Neurospora crassa OR74A: one gene and its partner. Each later gene encodes a partner of the first gene's protein in a complex. Links are inferred from orthologs where the notes say so. Each region holds a gene or a part of one and is shown on either strand. Other genes may lie near its edges.

What was found.
Region 2: tca-7 (region 1) and NCU02438 share a complex: the UniProt entries of both Saccharomyces cerevisiae proteins name them as parts of the 2-oxoglutarate dehydrogenase complex. The link is inferred for Neurospora crassa OR74A from reciprocal best matches to the Saccharomyces cerevisiae genes KGD1 and KGD2.

The regions. Positions count from the first base shown.
Region 1 is NC_026502.1:1,594,171-1,598,419, forward strand, and holds the start of tca-7 (2-oxoglutarate dehydrogenase E1 component), read left to right. Parts: upstream 1-1,417; 5' UTR 1,418-1,435; coding exon 1,436-4,249. UniProt on the Saccharomyces cerevisiae protein: The 2-oxoglutarate dehydrogenase complex catalyzes the overall conversion of 2-oxoglutarate to succinyl-CoA and CO(2).
Region 2 is NC_026507.1:2,482,252-2,486,682, reverse strand, and holds NCU02438 (dihydrolipoamide succinyltransferase), read left to right. Parts: upstream 1-1,481; 5' UTR 1,482-1,877; coding exon 1,878-2,120; intron 2,121-2,275; coding exon 2,276-2,614; intron 2,615-2,673; coding exon 2,674-3,066; intron 3,067-3,122; coding exon 3,123-3,419; 3' UTR 3,420-3,779; downstream 3,780-4,431. Other genes in the region: NCU11258 (LYR family protein), read right to left, coding at 53-75. UniProt on the Saccharomyces cerevisiae protein: The 2-oxoglutarate dehydrogenase complex catalyzes the overall conversion of 2-oxoglutarate to succinyl-CoA and CO(2).

The DNA of each region.
Region 1 (4,249 bases):
AGGTCGGATCTCTGGCCACCACAGGACCTGAGCTCTGGGCGACGAACTGCTGCAGGTGCCGTGGGTGGGAAATGCCAAGGATCTGAAGCCAGCGCAGAGCTTGGACAACAGCAACTGCACTGCAGCGAACCAGTCACGGCCAGCCAATGAGAGTTGGGGGATTTAACACTGTGACGTGCAGTCAATGCTGCAACTGGCTCAATAATGAAGAAGAAGTTGAAGGTGGCAGCTGACGATGCAGGATTTTGTAGTGAATTACACAATCGAAACCAACAGCCAAACCTCAAAGTCATTTCGATAAACCACTCGAGACGAGATCGAGACGAGATCTAGACTCGGTTCGCTTGTCTCTTCTTTGACAAAATGGATTTGATAAATGACTTTTGCAAAAGTCACATGATACTACGGCAAGTCACAAGGCGGTCAGTGCCAAGTAGCTAATTGAACCCAAACCCATAACCCAGGATACCGACCAGACCATGTCTAGCGCAGTTCCATCAGTTCGATGCCCCAAGCGAAAGCTTCGAAAAGTTCGCGCTCAAAGATGGGACCGAAAGCGTTACCGTACATTTCCACCTCGGACATGGAAGTTTTCCCCACTTTCCACGGTAAGATTGGATACTTGGTCCAAAAAGACGGGAACCGTGATTTCCGGGGAAAAGGGACTCGGGTCAGGTCTCGGAGCCTCCAACTCCAGTCTCGACGGGAGGTGCGGGAGCCAATGCGTAATGAAATAATTACAGTAGCACTCTCCAGACCGTAACTTCCAGCTCTTCCACACTTTCCCAGTTTGCTGCGTGCCCGATGACTTGTCATGGAGACACAGCTCCCGTCCCCCTCCTTGAAACCACAGAAACTCCACGACTTCCGGTTATGCTTGCTGTTACCGTGGTCACCGCTCGAACCGTGAACTCCGTCGTGACTTTTGGACAAACAACAAGAGGGAGGACGGATTCGAGTAGATGATGGATATGATATCTCTTCGTGTATTCCATTGTGTACGCTACTACGTATGGGTATGTAGCAGACTGAGCAGTAAATAACTGAAGGTAGGCGAGTTTGCGGCTATGGAGGTACCGAGAGAATCTCACATTGATGTCCCCTTCAAGTTTGTTGGGTCCCGGGCGTCTTCGATGTATTTGTTCCCAGTGCGAGAAGCTGGGTAGCTCCACCCAGTTTCGCCGGCTCCACAATGTTAAAGCTATGGCCAAGAGAAGCATCCAGGGCGCACTGCACTGAGTGCGCTTGTAGCGGCGCAACGGCGGGAGCCGAGGGGGAGGGAGCCTCACTTGTGCTTCAGCAAGTGCCGTCATCGTCCCCTCCACAGAGCCGTGCAGATGCCTTGATGCTCACTGTACGAGCTACTTCAGTCCACTCAATTCAGTTCGTTAGTTCTGTCAATTCCACAGGGCGGGCAGAACGGGAGTCAGCAGGCATGCACAGCAGCACAGCTGGACGGCAGCACTCGCTCGCTCTTGCAGTTTGCACCGACAGGTCGACCGACCGCCCGACTCCAGTGAGTGGACGGAGCAACTCGACGCACCTGCACGGCGGGCAGAGTGAGGCCCTTTTTTTCCGTCGCTGCATTCCCGCCGCCCCTTCCCCCGACACCAACGAAACATCAAAAACACCAACGTCTGTCGTCCCCCTCCCCTCCAAATCTCGATCCTCTCGTCTTCTCTCCCCCTCTCTCCCCATTCCCCCCCTCAAGAGTCGACGACGACGACCGAGACCTAGACTTACTCCGCCGCTCCTTTTGCCTTTTGCGCATCCCCCCCCCCCAAATCTCCCCTCTTCCAGATTGTACACACAAAACAAAACCCCGCTGCTTGGATTGCGCTTTCGGTTTCTGCGTCCTAATACCCTCACCTCACAACAGCCACCCATCATGTTGCGCGGTTCCATCCGGGCCCTGCAGACCGCAGGCGCCTCAAAACGATGCTATTCCCAGGTCGCCCAGACCACCAGGGCCTCCCTCAAGCCCGCCGTTGGCCGCCGTCCCCTGGCCGTCTCCCAGCAGAGGCGCCATGAGAGCGCCCTCCACAGCCCGCCCGACCCCAACGACAACTTCCTCTCGGGCAGCGCCGCCAACTATATCGACGAGATGTACCTCCAGTGGAAGCAGGACCCCAAGAGCGTCCACGTCTCGTGGCAGGTCTACTTCAAGAACATGGAGAGCGGCAACATGCCCATCTCCCAGGCCTTCCAGCCTCCTCCCAGCCTGGTTCCCGGTGCCGCCAACGTGGTGCCCGGTCTCGCTGCCGGCGCCGGCGTCGGCATTGGCGAGGGTGCCAACGTCACCAACCACTTGAAGGTCCAGCTCCTCGTCCGCGCCTACCAGGCCCGTGGTCACCACAAGGCCAACATTGACCCTCTGGGCATCCGCAACACTCCTGCCTCCAAGGGCTTCGGCAACATCAGGCCCAAGGAGCTCACCCCCGAATACTACGGCTTCACCGAGAAGGATCTCGACACCGAGTACAGCCTCGGCCCCGGCATCCTCCCCCGTTTCGCCCGCGATGGCCGCGAGAAGATGACGCTCCGCGAGATCATCGACGCCTGCGAGAAGATCTACTGCGGCTCCTATGGTGTCGAGTTCATCCACATCCCCGACAGGGAGAAGTGCGACTGGCTCCGTGAGCGTCTCGAGATCCCCCAGCCTTTCAAGTACTCGATCGATGAGAAGCGCCGCATTCTCGACCGCCTCATCTGGTCCTCCAGCTTCGAGTCCTTCCTCGCCACCAAGTACCCCAACGACAAGCGTTTCGGTCTCGAGGGTTGCGAGACCCTTGTTCCTGGTATGAAGGCCCTCATCGACCGCTCCGTTGACTACGGCGTCAAGGACATCGTCATTGGTATGCCCCATCGTGGCCGTCTCAACGTCCTCTCCAACGTCGTCCGCAAGCCCAACGAGGCCATCTTTTCCGAATTCGCCGGCATGGCCGGTGCCGATGAGGAGGGTTCCGGTGATGTCAAGTACCACTTGGGTATGAACTTCGAGCGCCCTACCCCCTCGGGCAAGCGCGTCCAGCTCTCCCTCGTTGCCAACCCCTCGCATCTCGAGGCTGAGGACCCCGTCGTCCTCGGCAAGGTCCGCGCCATCCAGCACTACAACAACGACGAGAGTGACCACAAGAGCGCCATGGGTGTCCTCCTCCACGGTGATGCCGCCATCGCTGGTCAGGGTATCGTCTACGAGTGCTTGGGCTTCCACAACCTCCCCGCCTTCTCTACCGGTGGTACCATCCACTTGGTTGTCAACAACCAGATCGGTTTCACCACTGACCCCCGTTTTGCCCGCTCCACTGCCTACTGCACGGATATCGCCAAGGCCATTGACGCCCCTGTCTTCCACGTCAATGCTGACGATGTCGAGGCTGTCAACTTCGTCTGCCAGCTCGCTTCTGACTGGCGTGCCGAGTTCAAGCAGGATGTTATCATCGACCTTGTCTGCTACCGCAAGCACGGCCACAACGAGACCGACCAGCCTGCCTTTACTCAGCCCCTCATGTACAAGCGCATCAGCGAAAAGAGCCCTCAGATCGACATCTACGTTGACCAGCTCCTCAAGGAGGGCACCTTCACCAAGGAGGACATCGAGGAGCACAAGCAGTGGGTCTGGGGCATGCTCGAGGAGAGCTTCTCCAAGTCCAAGGACTACCAGCCCACTTCCAAGGAGTGGACCACCAGCGCCTGGAACAACTTCAAGAGCCCCAAGGAGCTTGCTAGCGAGGTTCTCCCCCACATGCCTACCGCGGTTGACAAGCCGACCCTTGAGCACATTGGTACCGTCATTGGCAGCACTCCCGAGGGCTTCCATGCCCACCGTAACCTGAAGCGTATCCTGACCAACCGCACCAAGTCCGTTGTGGAGGGCAAGGGCATCGACTGGGCTACCGCTGAGGCTCTTGCCTTTGGTACCCTCGTCAAGGAGGGCCACCACGTCCGTATCACCGGTCAGGATGTCGAGCGTGGTACCTTCTCTCAGCGCCACGCCGTCTTCCACGACCAGGAGACTGAAGACACCTACATTCCTCTCCAGCATATCAGCGAGGACCAGGCCCCCTTCGTCATCTCCAACTCTTCCCTCTCCGAGTATGGTATCCTCGGTTTCGAGTACGGTTACTCTCTCCAGGACCCCAACGGCTTCAACATGTGGGAGGCCCAGTTCGGTGATTTCGCCAACACTGCTCAGGTCATCATTGATCAGTTCCTTGCCTCTGGTGAGAGCAAGTGGATGCAGCGTACC
Region 2 (4,431 bases), on another chromosome or scaffold:
GGTATAAGATCCTTGTTCTTGTCGCCATAATGGAGGACATGGATATACTGACAAGACAGCCGGTCGCGTCGACATGGTGGATTAAACTGACTCGTTCACCGTGGGTCCCGCTCGTGGAGCTCGACGAAACGTACGTTGTAGGCGTATATTCTTTTTTGTCCAACAGCTTAGCACGTACCTCTTTGGCTACGGTAGAGACAAGTGATAATCGGCTGTCGTGCGATTTCGGGCTGAGGCGGTGAATGGTAGGATAAGATTGGAATGATGGGGGAATCCGCAATTGCGCAATTGGGAAGAGGTACGTTGACACCGGGGGCTCTACACAGGCGATTTGGATGGGCTTGCAGGACGCGCTTCCGTACTGGAGGGTGGCTGCCTAAGGCACAAATCATCACTTCAGCACCTGGCGATATACATTACTGGGTTCACATTTCGTCTACTTGTGTACGCAGTTCACTCCACTAGGTACATACCAAGAAGGGAAGTGATCTTTGCTTTGCCGAGTCTTACAAGCCTTGCGTCTTGCTTGGCTACCCAAAACTAGTCAAATCTGTGCTTTGGACACTGCCATTGGAGGCACATGCAGCTACTACCTATCTTTATAGATTACGATGACGTCCCTATTCATTTGCTATTACATTCATATAGTAGGCAAGAGTAACTTAAACCTGATCGATTGAGATTGCTTAGGCAAATCGCTAATTGCCTACGAGGGACGTGATGAATACCAATGCGGTCTAAAAGCCTCGAGACCTGGGTGATCCGACACCCATATTTAAGATCCGTTACTCCGACGGTGTAAACGGTGACCCGGACGGATGAGCGAACCAGAGGTCCAAGCGTCTACGACATGCTAGCCTCGAGCTAGCGCACATGCTGGGGAGGGGGTCCAGGGTACTCTGAGTACGGACAATAGGATAGAAAATGGATGAGCACTTGAACGCTAAGAAAATGGTGCCCAGTATGGGATGATAGGAATTGTACGTCTATACGTAGATTGTTAGGTTTGCTGTCTTTCGGGTACCTTTCACACTCAAGCGTGATGCTTGACAATAAACCGGTTGCCTGAGGGGAACATCGATCCGTCCATAGGGTAAAACCTAGGGAGGCTTGTTTGGAATGATAATTTAAGTGCTATGGAGGTGTTCGGTGCAGGCTGATCCCTGGACCGTGCAGGCTACCGGGTCGCACCCCGGAATGATTCTTGCGATAGCTCCTTTGGTTTCCAGAAGATGTTCCCCGTCCCAGCAAACTGCGAGGCTGACCCCGTGACGCCGTGAAGGACGGCCAGATAGGCTTACCTACTCTAGGTAGGCTGGTAGGGGACTCTACTTAGTGTAGTTTCTTCTTACTCAGTTTACAGGTGTGACATGGACACTACACTACCTAGAGGTAACAGGTACGGTGAGGCTGGTGTGCTGCGCTGCCGTGCGGTGCGGAGAAAGCGCAAAAAAAAAAAAAAAAAAAAAAAAAAAAAAAAAAAAAAAGGTCGCGTAGAGCTACTGTGTGCAAAACATATGCTGGTGCAAGAACTTGTTGGAAATGCGCGGGAGTCGCTTATTATGCGGGAGTGAATTTGACAGCTTATACGATATCTAAAATGCAATTGAGTTAATGTACCCTTCCTCTGGGTCGCAGACGATCTGACCGTTAGTTTTCCGGTTGTCCCGGCAGATTTCTGTGCTGGGTGCTGCGTCATTGTCGCCGAGTCAGAACGGGACCTGTAGCCTCACGACAAATCTCATCACAACCGCCAATTTCGCGTTCTTCATCCGACGCTGTTCCCCCCAACCTTGGTCCTACAAAACCTCTCAAAAGGCACATCTTTATCTTGCGTCCCTACCAACTCCTGCTCCTTTGCCCGACATCCCGCTACTATGCTGTACAAAGGTCTTCGTCTTGCGGCTCGCGCCGCTCCCAAACTCGCGCTCTGCAATGCGACGCCCGCACTCCGGCAGCTTCCCCTGCAGTTCCAGCATGTCCGCACCTACGCCGATCAGGTCATCAAAGTCCCCCAAATGGCCGAGTCCATCAGTGAGGGTACCTTGAAGCAGTGGAACAAGAAGGTTGGCGACTATGTCGAGCAGGACGAAGAGATCGCGACCATCGAGACCGACAAGGTGTGTACGACGCTTCCTTAGTCCCGTGCCGGTGTCGGAGCCTAGACCGCTTGGAGCACATGCTGTCTGCCCCCCTGTCCTGCCTCTTTCTACGGTCATAGCTCGCCAGCGGCACATATATTTGCTTTCTAACTGCTTCTGCCACTGGGTTCTAGATCGATGTTGCCGTCAACGCTCCCGAGGCCGGTACCATTAAGGAGTTCCTCGTCAATGAGGAGGACACTGTCACAGTCGGCCAGGACATCGTCCGGTTAGAGCTTGGTGGTGCGCCCAAAGAGGGCGGTGCCGAAAAGCCGGCCGCGTCCGAGAGCAAGGAGGCTGCTCCCAAGGACAGCGCTCCTGCTCCTGAGAAGGCTCCGGAGCCTAAGAAGGAGACCAAGCCCGCCGCTGCTCCTGCTCCTACGCCCGCCAAGAAGGAAACTCCTGCCCCCAAACAGGAGAGTACTCCTGCGAAGGAGGCCCCGGCTGCATTGGGCAATCGCGAGGAGCGCAGAGTAAGTAAACGGCTCCTGAGCAAACGGAGTGGTGAATCGGTCAAACTAACACCCTCCAGGTCAAGATGAACCGCATGCGCCTCCGCATCGCCGAGCGTCTCAAGCAGTCCCAGAACACGGCTGCCTCGCTTACCACATTCAACGAAGTTGACATGTCGGGCCTGATGGATTTCCGCAAGCAGTACAAGGACGAGATCCTTAAGAAGACCGGTGTCAAGCTCGGCTTCATGAGTGCCTTTTCCCGCGCATGTGTCTTGGCCATGCGCGATATCCCGGCCGTAAATGCCTCGATTGAGGGTCCCAATGGCGGTGACACCATTGTCTATCGGGACTATGTTGACATCAGTGTCGCTGTGGCCACCGAGAAGGGTCTTGTCACTCCCGTAGTCCGCAATGTTGAAGCCATGGACCTCGTTGGCATTGAGAAGTCCATCGCTGATATGGGCAAAAAGGTACGGCTTCCCGCGCCTATGGAGTGCTTATATTACCTTACTAACTGTTATCGCAGGCTCGTGATGGTAAGCTCACCATTGAGGACATGGCCGGTGGCACTTTCACCATTAGCAACGGAGGCGTTTTTGGCTCCTTAATGGGTACCCCGATCATCAATCTTCCTCAGAGCGCAGTTTTGGGTCTCCATGCTATCAAGGAGCGACCTGTTGCTGTTAATGGAAAGGTTGAAATTCGCCCCATGATGTACTTGGCTCTCACCTACGACCACAGGCTGCTTGATGGCAGGGAGGCTGTCCAGTTTCTGGTTAAGGTGAAGGAGTACATTGAGGACCCCAGGAAGATGCTTCTTTAGGTTGTTGTAGTGGCAAAAAATCAAAGATCGTGTGTATTGCACCGGGCTTCTAGTGCTCCCATATCATATGGGTTGAACAATGATAAGAACAACAGAGTATTGAGAGTTAAGTCATTGGGATGTGAGTGTAATGGGTCTGGCGCCTGGGGATATGATGCCTAGCCGCAGAGCCGAGGCACGCTCCCTAGTTGGCCGATGCCTTAGGCCACCTGTTCTCTTCTAGTACTTAGCTTCCGGGCTGTAGGCCTTTCCCAGCCTACAAACCTTTTCCGCTTTGTTAATAACATTAAGCTTTAGTATACCCTAGGTGCTGTATTATATTTAGTAGACCCGTAATATATCACGAGAATCCCTCCTCGCACCTACCCTATTCCTTAGAGGTACTTTGTTTCTACTAGATAACAGCTGTTATATAATACTGGCCGTTTTGTCTAGTAATCTTGAATTTTCCAATTCAGGTTATTGCTATAAGGTGTAACGGGGGCAGCACAGTTGATACGGGTACTGGTCGTATAGCTTGATTAATATTCTATAAAGGAGGAGACGTTTATATAAAATGCGGATCTACTAGCGTTAAGAGGTTTTTATTGAGGCTGCGCGCTTTATACTACTATAGTTGATAATAATTCTAGTTCTAAAAACTAAAGTCTATAACCCGGGCGCTAGCCCTATAATATTACCCCCTTCCTTCCCCTTTTCCTACCCCTCTCCTACCTACCCTTATAGTTGGTCCCTAACGTATTTGCAACTTCCATTTGAATTATAATTTCATTTTCTATACTACTAACCAACGTACTAATACCTCTTATTCTATATAGTAATTATAATACTAAATAGTAGACAGTAGTAGGTAATAATAAGTAGTAGATAATAGGAAAGCCTCCCCGCACCTTGTTGAATCCTACACGTACCCTCCCCTACAAAGAAAAGTGGGACTACAGCTGGATGACACCTAATATTCAAATTCCCGTTTTTGCCCACTAAATCGAATTTTTTAAATATACGCAATATC